3 linked regions of the Drosophila melanogaster genome follow. The protein of the gene in region 2 purifies or fractionates together with the protein of the main gene of each other region. This does not show direct contact. Each region holds a gene or a part of one and is shown on either strand. Other genes may lie near its edges.

Region 1 (5,813 bases), on a different chromosome or scaffold from region 2:
GATCATGTAGAAACCACTTGCTCTCGCTGGTGTGCGGGTGCTCCGCTGATTTTGATTTTGGTTTTAAACTGGGACTTTTGGGTCTCAAGTGGAATCGTTGGCTCTTTGGGGAGGGTGGGAGAATCCCTTACAACGCTGGCCAGGTGGTGCTGATGCGCTGATGGTGTCGGTGTCGCATGCCGCTGCTGCTGCCCGCTGGTCACAATTCAGTTGGCCCGCGATGATGCCTCATTTGTCCTAATTTATTCGCCAAGCCAAAAAGAATTAATGAAAACAAATCAGCAGTAGTGAGACCGCACTCGGGGCTTTCAAACATACCACGCGATGGGGGTGGACCCACCTGTTTCGATAGTATCGATACATTGTCTAATTCAAAGAGCATTTAACACTCCGATTGGAAATTAATATTTATTTTTGTTTTGAAATATTATTATCTGATTTTTGGTGCACATTTTCTTAACGCTTATCAATATTTTACATAAATAGACATTTAAGAAAACACAATTTCTTGATGAAAAACGTATATTTCCACTTTGGATGTAATGCCTAAACTAATATTTATATTTTTAAAAATATTTAATCTTAAGACATATAGAAACCCGTTTTTAATGTTTAAAACCTCCTCGTCTGTCCCACTGCCTGGGAAGTGCTCGGCGCTGGAGCGCCCTGCTTGCTAGGATCCTCCAGCACCCGCACCACCATCGAGGATTTGGGGCCAGTGCACCAGGTAATGCCATTCTCGTCCACCACGAATGTTTCCAGCGTCACCTGGAAGTGCCCGCCATTGGAGATGGGCAACAGGAAGCTGCCGGAGAGGAAATCGCGCTGGGGCTTTACAATCTGATTGAGGGTCACAGTATCGTTGGCGCCCTGCTTGGGCAGCTCTTGCGAGGATCGCGGTGGCGGCGTGATTAGCTGTGAGGTGAGGCTTAATTGAACGGACTCCACGCGACGGAAGTGTTTCTTCTGCTTGCTAAAGTGCTGCAGGACACCCTCGACCTTGATAACCAGATTACTGCCCGACTGGACATTCACGGGTTCGGTGGCGCTCCTTGGCTGCGGACTCACCGATAGCTTGATCTGTGTGGACTGCAGAATCTGGAAGAAGTAACGCGGCAGGCAGAGCGGTGTCTTTGTTATGATCTCGATCTGCGCAATGATGACATCCAAATGTCGGTTACTAATGGTCTTGGCATTGGCCGGCTCCTGTGGCAGGTTTTTTTGCATCTGCTCCATGCGCTGGCAGCTTGCGGCAAAGTAGCGCGTCTCCGGGTGATCGCCTGTGGTTAGAAATACAGGCGGTTCCGGAGGCGTGGCGTAGCAAATCGACTCGATGATGTGGGCGAAAAGAGCGCACTGAAATTCAGCCACCTCCAGAAACTCCAGCGTCACGTGATCCGCATCGAAAGAGGATTTGTATAGCCTAGCGTAAGTCTCCTCGCAGGCCTTTAGTGCCTTCACCAGCTTGCGCAGCTGGTTCGTGACATGACCAAACTTTTGCAGATAGTCGCGCGAGTTCTGGGCCAAACTTCCAGCTATTGCCGGTGGCGGCACAATCACCTGGGCATTCTTTACGGTCACAGCCAGGTGAAGGGTCTGCAGAAACTGCGCCCTTATCTTCAGATACTCCAACTGAAAGGTGCACGGATGCTGGGGCGAGGAGCCAGCTCGCAGGCTGGCCAGCGCTTGCTGATAGAGATTACTAGCCATTTCCAAGCGCTTCATCAGCGGAATTAGAGGTTCCGGTGCCACCTTTGGTGCATAATTGTCCCGCATGTAGGCGTATTCCAAGCCATAGTTAAGAATGCACTCCGCCTGCGAGATCTGCGACAGTGCCACCAGGAAATAGTGCATATGATCGCTGATCACAATCTGGGAGACCTTGGTGTAAATGTGAGCAGCCACATAGTGGTGACCATAGCGACTAGCAGTGCGTGCAATCCTATACAGCGTCCAGCAGTTAAGCCTACCGAGGCATTTCTCAAAGCACTGAACAACCTTTTGCGGCAGGTAACAGCCCATGGTGGTTTGTAGAACCAGAGAACTCAGGATCTCCACGCTGCGCAACTGTTGATCGCAATTCTCCTGGTCGATAATGGTGTTCAGCTTGTGCAGAATGAGCGGCAAACGAGCTAGCATGGGATTTATCTGTGGTTAAATTAGAAATTAGAAATTGTTTCATAGATGTATTAATGCATTAGATACCTTGGGCGGGGGCAACTCATCGGTGTCCATCGCGTTTTCGTCTACTATCAAATCTTCTGCGGTGGAAAAGGCGTACTTACGCAGCTGAAAGTGCTCACACAGACCCGCCAGTGCCTCGCACATAAGTTCCGCATTGGCTGGCGGATAGGCACCCTTATCTCCCAGGCTATTGGTCACGATCCCAATGAAGGATGTTCCAAATTCAGCGTTGGCTTTAGTGATCCTTATACCGTATGTCAGCACCCTACGGAGATCGCGGGTGCACTCCGACCGCTTGGCCGTGCAAAGGAGCAATCCTTCCATGTGCAGGTTGACCATATGAAGAATATCGTCCACCTGCTCGCCGCTGCCCTTTTTTTTTAAACCAAATGCTACTAGAACCGACAAAACTGCCATGGCCTGAGTGGCGGTGGTGTAGTCGTCCAGCTTGCTAATGCACTGGATGCACAAACGGAGCAGGGCTACGCGATGCTCGCGAAGCAGCTGCTGGCAAGTAAGCGGGCACTCGCTTAACTTCAGCAGGATTGAGAGGAAGAGGAACTGCTCCTTGGAATTGGTACACAATTCAAAACGATCAATGAGCGCTTTGATGGCTGGCTTGGGCCAGGCATGAACGCTCTGACGTCCGGCCAACTCGTTGAAAGATCGCAGCACCTGTATGCGTACTGGTGTCCTTAAGTCCTGCATGAAATCCAGCAGAACATCCAGCTGACCGGGCACTCCCACCAGCGTTCGTGATGACAATTGAGTGAGCGTGTCTATGATGGCCACCACAAAGCTCTGGGCTGGATATTTGGGCAGCAGATCCATGCACAGTCTGCTAACCAGTGACGCTGTGGTAGCCTCGTGATGCATGTGTCGCAACACGGGAATCAGGAGCAGCTTCATTGGCACCGGCACCTGAAGCGATTCGATCATGTCCGAAATCTTGGCGCACATGCTGATGGCAAAGGAACTTGACTGGGCGGCAAAGCAGCTGCTGGCATAGATGGCAGCCTCCACCTCGACGGTATCGTGGCTATCCAGAGCACGTCGAATGGCATGATGAACCTGTTGCTTCTCGGGAATCACACGGGAAACGGCGCCCAAGGTGCGCAGGAGGAGAGCACGCGCCACCGGATCGTTGGAGTGCATCACCACAAAGATACAGCGCACAAAGCTGTCAATGTTGAGGATCTTGTCCAGATGATTCTCGCTCTGCTGGCAAACACGGAGCACCCAGAAGCGCAGCAGATTCGATCCGCTGACAAAGTAATCGGCCAGCTTAATGAACGACGAGTTGATGAGAATGGGAAACGGATACTTCTCGAAGAGGCGCGGAAAGCGGACGACCGCCTCGCACTGGATTCCCTGCTTGGTGCTCCGCAGTCCCTTGTCCAGTTCCATGAGCACCGCATTCGAGTCGTGCTCATTTTCGTTAAGGAAGCTCTCGTTGAAGGTGCTCACGCGGGTGCCGGTCAGGTGAGACATGGTTACAGGTTTCCTCACTCACATTTATCGCAGATAAATCGTGTTTATTGAGGTTTTCATTAGCCAAACGACACAAAAACAAACCGGCTGCAAATGCTTCTTCTTGCTAATTTGTCGTTCGTAGGAAACTCCGGTATCATTGCAGCGATAGCTGGTCACTTAACAGTAAAAAAAACGTTTGAATCCAAAGTCTATATTGTCAATTCTTTATAAGCGTTTGTCGATCGATAATAAAATTATCCTGATTTCTAAAATAAGAAAAAAATCAATTTAAGAAACAACTATTAACTTAGAAAATTATGTAGAAAGTGATGTAGCCTATTATTCTCACTCCTTCTTTGTCTCTGTGTAGATAATTTGCAAATCTGCTAAGGTCACACTGCTCGCTATTTGTTGAATTTGTTAATGTTTTGAAATTATGTTTGTTTTGACTAAAGGCACGTAAAAATGGTCTAAAACACAGAGATTATTAGTTTATTCATTTTTTAAATACTCTTTATAGATGACGAAAAGTTTGTGTTGTTTCCTGGCAAAAAGGTGTACACCATTGGTCGCCTGGCCACGGATTTAATTGTTGCGCAGGACCTCAGTATAAGTCGCAATCATGCCCAGCTGCTCATCCAAACGGAAGCGGATGGCGATGACACCCTGCATATCGAGGACCTTGGCTCCAGATATGGCACTTTCATTTTCCCCAAGAATTCCCAAAAGCCGCGCAAGGTGCCTGCCAAAACATCGACTCCATTGCCTGTGGGCACACGCTTGCGATTTGGCGCAAACATGAGCATTTGGCAGGTGACCCAACTGAAGTTGGTTACAACTGTCTCCGCATTAACGCGTTCCGAGGTCCAGGAGCTCACGAAGATGCTTGAACCCATGGGCGGCACGGTCACTTCGAACTGGACCGAAGAGTGCTCCCATCTAACCATGAACGAAGTTTCGGTGACCGTGAAACTACTGCACGCTATGCTCGAGAATAAGCCGATTGTGACATTCCCCTACTGGCGAAAGATGCTGCAGGCAGCGCAGAGCATCCATGTCAAGGAGGGCTGGCCTCAGCCGGAGGATTACCAGCCCACCAACATAGATGTCACCTGGCGTCCTGAGCGTACCCGTCTCTTCGCCGGCAAGACATTCGTCTTCATGAACCGCAAACACTTTGATATGTACGGATCAGTTGTGCAGAAGGCTGGAGCCACGTGCAAGGACATCAATTCGGGTGTGCGCAAAACATTCCTAACAAAGAGTGATGTGATAGTCATACAGTATGTGCCATCGTCCCAGTCGCAGGCCACTGAATCAATCAATAGTATACAAGATAGGTGTAAATATATTGCTCACATCACAGCGTTTAAGTATTATTATGTATTATAATTTTTAGATATTTTGGAACAGAATGGTCGACGTATTATCCAGGAGTACGAGATTGGCATGGCCCTAATACATTGCTCTATAACAGAATTCTGCAACCCAACGCACAAGTTCATCTCCGATTCATTGCCCACCACGGAGTCTGTAACTTCCTCGATGGCCTTTAACTCTTCGATCATTGTGCCCAACACGGAACGCCACTCGGCGCAATCCAATGCCACGCCCATTTCCGAACTGGTGGTGCCTGAGTCAATTGAATGTGAAATGGAACAAGATGCTTCTAAGCCCCATTCGGAGGACCAAGCTTCTTTGCGTAAGCGGAGTCATGCCTCAACAGTTGACTCCTCGGACGAGGAGAAGAAATCAACATTGTCTAAGCGAGCTAAATCGGATATCGCTACGAAACTGACCATGAAATCAAAGAATGCCATATTGTTGGACTCGTCTTTGGAAGAAGATGTGACACCAGCTCCGGCGCCTGCTCCAGTTCAACGAGTAACAAGGCAGAGCAAAGCCATCGCTGAGGAGAAATCCGTACATCCACCTGTTCCAGCTGCGAGTAAGCACATAACACGGAAGACCAAACAGGTTTTTTGTGTTGACTCATCGGATGAGGAGAACGAAAATGCTCGGAAACCAAAAGAAACGCCAGCTCCAACTATCCCTTCGATGGCCAAGAAGAAAACGGAAGCACCCGTTGCCACCAGGATTTCACCACGACTCAATGGGAAATCATTGGCCACAAATATTACCAACCAACCGGCTGA
Region 2 (4,688 bases):
TTTTGACAATTAAATCAATGTTTTGGTGTTATGAAATTTGGTAAACGTTATCGGTACAGGTTCAATTTCGATTGACCAACAAACCAAAAAGTCAAGCTTTACTTACTTTATCTCTTATCTTTTATCGTTGATCTTTTATTTCCCCTCTCAGGTGCACTTTCTCCCTCTCCTTCTCTCTCGCTTTCTGCTATATTCTTGCTATTTGTGGTTGTTGTTTTTGTATTTGTTGCTATCTCCCTTTGCGTGTGTATAGGTGTTTAGGTTTTGTTTACGTTGTTAGCAGCTCTCTTTATCTGCTTGTTGTTTTTGCTGCCGATTCTCTTGCACTTGTTGTTCTTGTCCTGGGCTTGATCGATTTGCTCTTTTTCTGCGTTTCGCTGTTCCGCTTCTATGGTACATGTTGCGTGCAACAGCTGACATTTGGACTGGAGAAACAACAACAACAGCGAACTGCGAATGGTAACGAACGAAACAGAACAGAACAGAACGAAATGATAATGAAACAGGTACGCAACTGGTTGTAAAATATCAATAGGTTGCGCATACGCACTGTGGCCAATCGATTAAGAAGCGGCAATATAAATCCATACAGATAATGAAACAACTGCGTAATCAACGATATCACTCACAAACTATCTACACACCGCACACTCTGTCGCATAACGCAAGTGCTAATTAAACAACAAAATGGAATTTAATTCCCAGGGGGTCGGCCGTTGGTCCTAGAGAGCTAAATATTTATGTTGGGGAAAATCGCTTTGACACAAATCCAAATCCACTCCGCTTCACTCACTGGCCATTATGCCTCCTCTGCATCTCCTCCTCGCTCCATCTAACTCGTTCCTTCTTCTCTTTCTATTGATGCCCCACTACGGAGTCATTCACTCGACGCCACTGCCACCACTACAACGCTCTGCTGGCGTCGCCTAGAGATGGCAACGTGAGCCAGGTGGGCGACACGCGTGTGAATAGCTTTGGCTTTGCCAAAAACAATACGAAGTCTAGTACTAAGCAATAATATTTATAATTGTCGTACTTGTCGTATATTCAAAATAATAAATGAGTTAGATTCATATGTAGAAGTTTTAAACTAGGTAACAAGTAGTCATTATAACGCAGGTGCCAAAGAGATTGATCTTTAAATGGTTCTCTATTTTCTATCTGAAGTGTACCATTACACAAATTAGTGTTTAGTTTCGATATCCTTACACTTTGTTATATTGCGTGATATTCGCTGCCCCTATTAACAAAGTAGATTACTGCTCCCACCATCTCGAGTTGAGGTAAAAGGTAACCGTAAATCGATTACACAATGACCAAGCTCACGATCGTGAGTGTGTGTGCGAGGGAGCACGACCTACGCATCTCTGATGGAGAGCGAGGGAGATGGCCTGCCGAAGAAGGGGCGATGGAGGAGAAAAATGAGAAAGGGGGTTGGGATGTGGTGGATGCCGATGCCAGGGGGAGGAGAAGGAGGAATGCGATTAACCAAAGCCGGGATAACGATAACGATCACTCGGCGATCGCAGGCGTAACCCACATCCTTACACCTTAAATTAGGTCAGCCAGTCTAAATGTGTTTTTACCGGAGGAGCCGTAATTGTCTTGAATTCGAGTGCAAAACATTCAATTTCTATTTGAATAAGAGCGCAAACACATACGCACACTCGCGCACATGGACATGCACACACACATTCGCACACACGCGGCTCGGTGTAGTTGCCAGATACCCCCACTTCGGACAGGTATAACGTTGAGCGGAAATTAAAATATATCTATTAAGTTTCACAAATTTTGTCTTAAGTAAAAACAACACAAAATTCGTATTAAACGAGCGGTGTGTGATTTATCGTTGATCTGGCAACCCTGCTCCGACGTGTTGGAATGGTACGGGTGGCTGCGGGGGACGAGTCGGCCTATTGTGTTTGATGGCAATCCACAAAGCTCACACACACGTTTAAACCAAAACGATATAGGGCCGAGCACTTCAAGTAATCGAGTTTTTTCCGTCTAATTAATCTCGGCGCAGCGATGTTTTGGCCAACAAAATGACACGGCTCTTTGTCGGAATTCACTTATGCAGCAGCGGCAGGGTTGTCAGAGCTCGAAAAACGGTGAAGAAATAAACACACTTTTTCTAGTTGTTTCGCATAAATGGGGGGCGGCAAAGGGGTGCAGGGCCTTTGATTGGTGGTCATTTTTCATTTGGATGACCTTAATTTGCATGTGATAATGCTGATTAGTGCAGCCGCGTTATCGGCACGGTAATCGTTATCGCCAGAGTTGCAAGCGCCCGCCCATCGACAGCCCGCCAAAGCTTTCGAATTTGAAAATGTGTGGACATATTTTAAAAGTGCGATTCTAAGGATCGCATGGTTAATATTTTAGATCTAAATTTTCTATCTCAAAAAAAAAAAAAATGGTACAACATTCATACACAACTACACCGGCAGCATCTTCGAGTGAGAGTTTCCGGCCAAAAAAAAAAAAAAAAAGAATAACTAAAACAAAAACGCACTCACAAGAAGAGGAATGTTTCTCCTCCACCCAATACTCGCAATAATTTTCGATTAGCTTCTATATGCCGCGCCACGATTTTTTATTCTGTTATATTTTTACTTTGTGCCAACAGAAATTTATCACCACCGCGCGAGAGAGCGAGAACACACACGCACACACACAGCCAGAGTGCGCTCTCTTTCGCTCTGCCGCCGAGGTGCATAGGCGAGAACGACCGACAGACGCGACTAGCGGTCGGACCGACCGACCGAACGACCGTCGCTATCGCCGTCCCCCTCTCGCTCGTAGGTTTGTATCGGGGAGTTGTTGCTTACACGCACTCGCACACATACTTTTGCACACTGGCGCCTCGTCACTGTTGTTGCATTGCTGTCGTCCACTCCTGCGCTTCTTCTTCTCTTGTTCGACTCGCTTCTCTTCGGATTTTACTTTGCTGCCGAGCAATAACAACACAACACTACCGTTCTCAAAGTTCGAATGATTTGATGCCGTTCTGTGTTTTTTTGGTGTGGCCGAGAAGCGCCAAATCAGTGGGGCCGTATCGCGGCGATTCGGAAAAGCCGAGCGAAGGGGTCACGATAAATGGATTTGTGGTTGAATTAACTGAGTTTGTAATAATTGATGTCAAATATTTACTTACCTTGTTAGGGGATTTATATGTATGCTGCACATTTAATCTTGAATGCCATTAGTTCATTAGTTTGGTATAATCCATAACATTCACTTAAAATGTTATATCGTTAATCTTTGATCCAAATAAACAGAATCACAACTACAGTATTCCCTCCAATGCTAATAAGTTTATAAGTTTCAGTTACTATTATCCATAAGGTACCATAAACACGATTGCAGCACTTTGGGTGGTGATTAGTACTACTATTACGTTTAAAATAAACTACGCAGGGTTTGACATGCAAGTTGTAAACATTTGACTCGGAGTTCAAGATAACGCTATAAAATTACTTAATCAGGGTCCACTGTACTCTATCGATAGCGATAACTGACCACCTACACAGACATTTATTGTTATCGACCAACGAACACATGTTCACTCCGATTTGGCGCGTAAACAAGTAAATAAATAGTATTATTAAGAATAATGCCGGAGAGCCTGATCGCCGGCATTCCGGTGCACTTTCCGTTCGAGCCGTACCCGGTTCAACGGGCGTACATGGAGAAGGTGATCCATTGTCTCCGCGATGGCACGAATGGAGTCCTGGAATCGCCAACCGGCACGGGCAAGACCCTAAGCTTGCTGTGCTCATCCTTGGCCTGGATCCGCACCAGGCAATCGGAGCACCAAAAGCAGATGGTTAAGATGGAGAAGGCAGATTTTTCGGGTCTTGGAGGCGGAGCACCTGGGGGAGACCTGTCCGAGCTGGCCAAGACCATGGGTCGTGCGAATAACTGGGGCGTGCCCAAGGTCATCTACGCCTCGCGCACCCACTCCCAATTGACGCAGGCGATGCGGGAACTCAAGAGGACAGCGTACGCTAACATGAGATCCGTGGTTCTGGGCTCCCGCGATCAGCTATGCATTCATCCGGAGGTCATGCGGGAGCAGGGCAACTCCAACAAGACCAACATGTGCAAGCTACGGGTGCACTCCAAGACCTGTTCATTTCAAATGCGCGTTGAGTCGCGAAAGGATCATCCCGATTTGCGCGGACCCACCATCATGGACATTGAGGACCTGGTCAAGGTGGGCCAGCGACTCAAGATCTGTCCCTACTTCGCGTCTCGGGAGTTGGTTCCCCAGGCGGATATCACCTTCATGCCCTACAATTATCTACTCGATCCCAAGGCTCGCAAGGCCAACAAAATCGAACTGGGCAACACTATTGTGATCCTGGATGAGGCCCACAACATCGAGAAGATCTGCGAGGAGTCCGCTTCGGTGCAGATTAAGTCCTCTGATGTGGCCATGGCCATCGAGGACGTCACGCATATCATGCAAGTCTTTGCGAGCGGCGAGTCGCAGGATATGGCTGGAGATGAGCCAAAGGACTTCACACTGGACGACCTTACACTGCTCAAGGAGATGCTGCTCGAGCTCGAAAAGGCCATCGATGCCATCGTTGTGGACAACGCCGTCGATGGAACTACCTTTCCCGCCTCCATGATGTACGAACTGCTTGGCAAGGCGAATGTAAGATGCACTAAATCTT
Region 3 (6,227 bases), about 12 Mb from region 2:
TATATCTTTTAACTCGTAACTTCGAAATGAAACTTCAACTCGTGACCTCAGAGGGCCGGGTGGGTGAGAAGAGCGGGGTGCAAGGGAAATGGGAAATGGGGAGTGTGTGTTATTTTTAGCCGATGTGTTGGTGAGCACGTAACTGTATTTCAGCCAAGTGCATAGGCGTATGCGTATCTACGGGGAAGAAAAAAGAGCGCACCGCTTGTATTTCATAAAACTCACAAGCACACGGAACCTCAACGTATGATACACATGTATATATATATATATATCTCCGATTAGGCGATAGCCGTGTTCTTCGCTTTTTATCACCAACGGAACGAACAACTGACGCAAACGTTACTTAAGGCTTGCGCTTCTTCTTCTTGCACAGCAACATGTCATTCATGCGTTTAATTCACAGCTCTAGAGTTTCGGTCCTGCCATTCAGGCACATTTACACCAAGTAATTTAAAAAATAAAAAAAAAAATGCGAACTACACTCGTCCAATTCGATTACTCGAACAAACATACACACACACTCACGCACGCTACGCGCTCTCAACGAAAACCGAATGATGTCATCATCGGTGGCAGAGACAGCGACGCCGGCAGCGACGGCGACAGCGTCGAAATATATGAGTTAGCAGGCAATTTTAATCGATGATGTTTTTATTATGTACGTAGAAATGTATGCGAGAAATCACTTGCTTTTCATATTTTAGCACACTTCTAATTCTCAAACCAAAAACACACACACAGGCACACCAAGAGTAAGAGTCGCTCACACATTCGTTAGATACTTTTTGCTCTCTTTTGCCACTTCTGCCTTTTATTGGTGGCTCCTTTTTCGTGGCCTATTCACTTGGGCGTTGGTCTATTTCACATTTTCCCCGTTCGACCGCTTGCGTTTCGAATTTCGCGCCGTTTTTACTGCACTGCGGCGACTTTCACTTACCTACTCGATAATTTTGCAGCTCCGCTCGCCCTAATTGATTCATAAAACACAGTTAATTTCATAGATTTAGCACGTTCAACTAAAAATCTTCGGTCTGGCGGATGAACTTCACTTGGCGAGAATGGAAAAAATGTATGTATTCAAAACATCGCGTTGCGAACGAGTGAACGAAGTGAACCAGCGCGAGAAGGCGCTAAAAAACGCCTACTGCGCAGTGTGGCCGTGCCACATGATCTGGCTATAAATTAGCCAAAACGGTGGAACTTAAGATTTTTATATATTATTTAACTTAAATATTCCTTCATATTTGTATAACCTAATATTACATAAACAATTGTTTACGCCACATGTACTCTATTACTTCGAGCTATTTAAATAATATTAATTAAATTTTTATCAGAACCAAAATGTTCTTATTTTCCTAAGATTTTCGTTACAGAAATGCTTATATACAAACATAACTTATTTATATTTAACTTTTTTTAATATGTTGGCTTTTTGGGAGAATATAAGCCTTATTGCTAATAATAACAGTAAAGATTTTACTAACTTAATAGTACTAATAGTTGTTAGCCTCTTGCAATAATTGTTAATATTTTTCTTTAGCTGCGCATCTCTTTGTTAACCTTCACCTATGAGAGCAGTATAGTATTTTTATAATAATAAAATAATAAAATGTAGTAATTGCTGGTATATTTGCAGCCTCTCCAACTGGCCACACTGACGTGTGTTGATTTTTTGGATGCGGATCGCAGTGGATTCTCGGATTCTCCGGCATTCCCTGCCCCAACTACAGATCGCCGAGATTAAAGCAGACCCGCGCCGGCATCTCCAGCACGGACACCCCGCCGGCCAGGCCAATAGAGCGGGACAACCGAGCACACGAGCATTGCCGGGTGCAACAAGTTGGAACGCAACGACAACGACGACGAGGACAAAATGCCGGTGAGGATGTACGATGTATCGCCGCGCGTTTTCTGCGCCATGCAGAATCTGGACATCACCCTGCTGGCCAGCTATCCGGAGGCGGAGATTCGGCCCGTGCTGCCCTCGCTGGTGCGGATGAGCCTGCTATCGCCACTGGACAACACCGAATCGTCGATGGAGTCGCGCAAAGAGATCCTGGCCGTGCTCATCGGCATCGAGGTGGTGAACAGCATCGTCTCCTACCTGCAAGTCAACTACCATGAGCTGGAGAATGAGCTGAAGAAGGAGCTGCAGGCCCGCCAGAAGTCGGCCTTCTTCGAGGGACAGCAACACGAGTACGGCCTCCAGTCGGGCATCGCACTGGGCTTTGAGCGGGCGGATGTGGCGCGCAAGGTGCGCGTGGTGCTCTCCGAGATCTTCAATCTGCAGCAGCAGGTCTCCGAGCAGAAACCGGCCGCCCATTCGGAGATGCTGGACGACGGCATCTATCTGGAGGAGGTGGTCGACATTCTGTGCATTGCTCTCGCCGAGCTGCCCTCCCTGCTGAACATACTGGAGCTAACGGACGCCCTTGTCCATGTGCCCAACGGACATCGCATCATCTGCGCACTGGTCGCCAACTTTCCGGATTGCTATCGCGACGTTGTGTCCCATGTGATCGCCAATTGCGACGAGGATGGCAGCGATGGCAAGCACCGGTTAATGCTGCTCATGGGGCTCAGCGAGATGAATCCCTCCCAGGCGCTGGCCAACAGGTCCATGTGCGTGGATATGCTGAAGGTGCCGTCGTTTATGCTTAAGCTCACGCTCAAGCATCCCGAGGATCTGGTGAGTAGGGTAATATTGACCAGTAAGGTGCAGATTTACCACAACACTATAATCGTTAGGAAATTCTTTGCATTTCATTTAAATTTAACGTACATAAGAAATGTTTTTTGATCATATTTTGTTGATTGATCTTTTTTGTTTGGAGTACCATTCATTTGGAGTTCTGCTTATTTTTGTGTAACATGTGTTAAGCAAAAGCAAAAGCGAGAAAATGTTGCTTAGCTATCTCGCTCTAATTCGCTAGAGCGATTGAATCTTATTTGGACGTATGACAATATTTACGAATAATGAGATAACAATGCAAACTTCAACCACTCCCCACAGATAGCCTTCCTCACGGGCCTGCTGCTGGGCAATGACCAGAATCTGCGCTCCTGGTTCGCCGCTTACATCCGCTCCAGCCAGAAGCGGAAGGGGGACGCACTGAATCTGGTGCGCGTGGAGCTGCTACAGAAGGTGATTCAAACGACGACCAATGCGGCGGAGCTGCGCGACTTCAATCTGCAGGGCGCGGTGCTGCTGCGTCTGTACTGTGCCCTGCGCGGCATCGGTGGCCTGAAGTTCAACGACGACGAGATCAATGCTCTGTCGCAGCTGGTCACGAGTTGTCCGCAGGCGACGCCCTCGGGCGTGAGATTTGTAACGCTGGCGCTGTGCATGCTCATCGCCTGTCCCTCGCTGGTGTCCACCATTCCACTGGAGAACAAGGCTGTGGAGTGGCTGCAGTGGCTCATACGGGAGGATGCCTTTTTCTGCAAGCGCCCCGGTACTAGCACCTCGCTGGGTGAGATGCTCCTGCTTCTGGCCATTCACTTTCACAGCAATCAGATCTCGGCCATCAGCGAGATGGTCTGCTCCACGCTGGCCATGAAGATACCCATCCGGCCGAACAGTACAAACAGAATCAAGCAGCTCTTCACACAGGACCTGTTCACGGAGCAGGTGGTGGCGCTGCATGCGGTTCGCGTACCCGTCACTCCGAATTTAAATGGCACCATACTGTGCTACCTGCCGGTGCACTGCATCCAGCAACTGCTGAAATCGAGGACATTTCTCAAGCACAAAGTGCCCATTAAGTCGTGGATCTTCAAGCAAATATGCAGTTCGGTGAGGCCAGTGCATCCTGTGATGCCGGCCCTGGTGGAGGTCTTTGTCAACACGCTGATAATACCCAATCCCACCGGAAAAGTGAATATTGATCACATGCACCGGCCCTTCACTGAGGCGGAAATTCTGCACGTGTTCCGCACATCCAAGCTCACATTCTTCGCCGAGGAGCTGCCACCGATGGCGGAAAGTCAGGAGCTCAACCAGATCGAGGTGACGTGTCCACTAACCGCCCAGCTGCTGATGATCTACTACCTCATGTTGTACGAGGATACGCGACTGATGAACCTCAGCGCTTTGGGTGGTCGCAAGCAGAAGGAGTACTCCAACAACTTCCTGGGCGGACTGCCACTGAAGTATCTGCTCCAGAAGGCGCACCACTACCACAACGACTATCTCTCGCTCTTCCATCCGCTGCTGCGTTTGATTATCTCCAACTATCCGCATCTCAGCATGGTCGATGACTGGCTGGAGGAGCACAATCTGGCCCAGGGCAATTCCACGGTGGTGGTAAGCAAGCATGAGCTCAAGCCGGAGACCCTGGATCGTGCACTGGCCGCCATCCAAACGAAACCGCATCTAGCCATCCGCGTGTTTAAGCAGCTACTCCAGATGCCCCCAGAAACGCAGGCGCAGTATGGACAACAGCTGGTGAAGCATCTGCCGATGGTGTTTGCCAAGTCGGTGCCGCGATACGTCAAGGATCTGTACAACGATATTTGGCTGCGCCTGAATGCCGTGCTGCCCACCACCCTGTGGATCATGTCGCTGCGAGCGATTACCAACGGCTCGGATACGATGGATCGACGTACCTTTGCCAACGAGAGTCTTCTGGAGCCCATGGAGGTGCTAAGGTGGGTTGCCTCGTCATTTTCGTGTGTTGTTTCCTAAAATTCTTTCGCATTCCTTTTGATCAACAGTTGTCCACGCTTCGTATTCTGTTCGCCCTATTTGCTGATGATCCTGCTGCGCATTCTGAAGGGCAGCCTAGCCGCCTCGAAGACCTATCTCAACGTGCACATGCAGATGCAGCAGAAGCAGGTGCTGGACAAGAATGGCATGATGCAGACGGATGCGATTTGGGAGGACCTAAGGACCACGCTGATTGCCTCGCAGGAGAGCGCCGCCGTGCACATTCTGCTGGAGGTGCTGGACTACATAGCCAGCAAGGCAACGGATCGGGTGTCGCATCTGGAGCTGCGTGAGATACAGGGCATCATTGGCACCTATGTGCATCAGGCATTCATTTCGGAGCCTTCGCTGGCGAAACTAGTGCACTTCCAAACGTATCCAAAGTCGGTTATTCCCATGATGGTGGCCAGTGTGCCATCGATGCACATATGCATTGATTTTGTTCACGAATTCCTCAACGTGACGGAAATGGAAAAACAGATCTTTACCATCGATCTGACCTCCCATCTGGTGCTCAACTATTCGATACCCAAGAGTCTGGGCGTCTCGAAATTCTGCCTGAATGTAATCCAGACGACGTTGTCCATGCTGACCGCATCGACCAAGTGTAGATTCCTGCGCAATGTGATGCCAGCGATGGTTCGTTTCGTGGAAACGTTTCCCATTCTGGCCGACGACTGCGTCAACATCCTGATGACCACCGGGCGCATTCTGCATTCGCAGTCATCGCTGGGCATGACCACAATGGAAATGCCACTCACCGATAGCGACAAGCTCTGCACGTATCGGGATGCCCAGCTGCACATCATCATGATCGAGGACGCGTTTAAGGCACTGGTCACGGCGGTCATGAAAAAATCGGACCTGTATTAGTTGGACTCGATCCCGCCTTGTTTTTCATAGTCGTAAGCAACCTTTCCCCACTCCGCCCCCCGGCTGATTATAATAGTGCTTGTAAAATTTATAACAACATTGACCAGAATAAATACTTATTGCAAAAACCATTTCTATATAACTAATTAATTAATTGAGTTTAAATTTGGCGCCTCAAATAAATATATAACTACGCAGCTGTTATCGGAATCTACTTTTATCGATAATATACTTTGGTTAGCGAGTACACATACCAGATATATCTATCGTTCCCGGCCATGCCACCCATACGCGTATCGGGTTATCGATAAAAACTAACAAGCATCGACATTAGTTCCAGCTCTAGTTTTTGTTGTTGTTAAATTAAAGCTCGGATGTGAATTACAATAATTGTGAGTAGCGTTCGTGCGTGCGTAATATGCGAATCGACTGGCATTCGGCATTGAGTTTTGTGTTTTGATTCCTGAATCGAGTCAGGACGTATCTGACCTGCTTTTTCAGTGTGCGTTTACGATGCTGATTCGTAATTGTCCTTTGTATACGTTGTGTACGCGCTGCTCCTCTCTCCTCTCGCTCTCCCTCTCCCGCTCTCCCTTGTCTTGAGTGTGTGCGCCTGCTGTGTGCGTGTGTGTGAGTGAGT

Evidence for each region.
Region 1: the proteins of IntS6 (region 2) and defl purify together in Drosophila melanogaster (affinity purification with mass spectrometry, with the first as the bait; one large-scale study listed by BioGRID). This does not show direct contact.
Region 3: the proteins of IntS6 (region 2) and IntS2 purify together in Drosophila melanogaster (affinity purification with mass spectrometry, with the first as the bait; one large-scale study listed by BioGRID). This does not show direct contact.

The regions. Positions count from the first base shown.
Region 1 is NT_037436.4:9,721,404-9,727,216, reverse strand, and holds defl (deflated), read right to left. Parts: upstream 3,795-5,813; 5' UTR 3,676-3,794; coding exon 2,206-3,675; intron 2,149-2,205; coding exon 613-2,148; 3' UTR 511-612; downstream 1-510. Other genes in the region: nbs, read left to right, coding at 4,094-4,112, 4,178-4,999, 5,057-5,813. UniProt on the Drosophila melanogaster protein: Component of the integrator complex, a multiprotein complex that terminates RNA polymerase II (Pol II) transcription in the promoter-proximal region of genes.
Region 2 is NC_004354.4:5,744,250-5,748,937, forward strand, and holds the start of IntS6 (integrator 6), read right to left. Parts: upstream 3,006-4,688; 5' UTR 2,523-3,005; intron 2,127-2,522; exon of another isoform or gene 1,954-2,126; intron 451-1,953; exon of another isoform or gene 107-450; intron 1-106. Other genes in the region: Rtel1 (regulator of telomere elongation helicase 1), read left to right, coding at 3,620-4,669. UniProt on the Drosophila melanogaster protein: Component of the integrator complex, a multiprotein complex that terminates RNA polymerase II (Pol II) transcription in the promoter-proximal region of genes.
Region 3 is NC_004354.4:17,652,251-17,658,477, reverse strand, and holds IntS2 (integrator 2), read left to right. Parts: upstream 1-1,659; 5' UTR 1,660-1,879; coding exon 1,880-2,695; intron 2,696-3,019; coding exon 3,020-4,656; intron 4,657-4,722; coding exon 4,723-5,587; 3' UTR 5,588-5,717; downstream 5,718-6,227. UniProt on the Drosophila melanogaster protein: Component of the integrator complex, a multiprotein complex that terminates RNA polymerase II (Pol II) transcription in the promoter-proximal region of genes.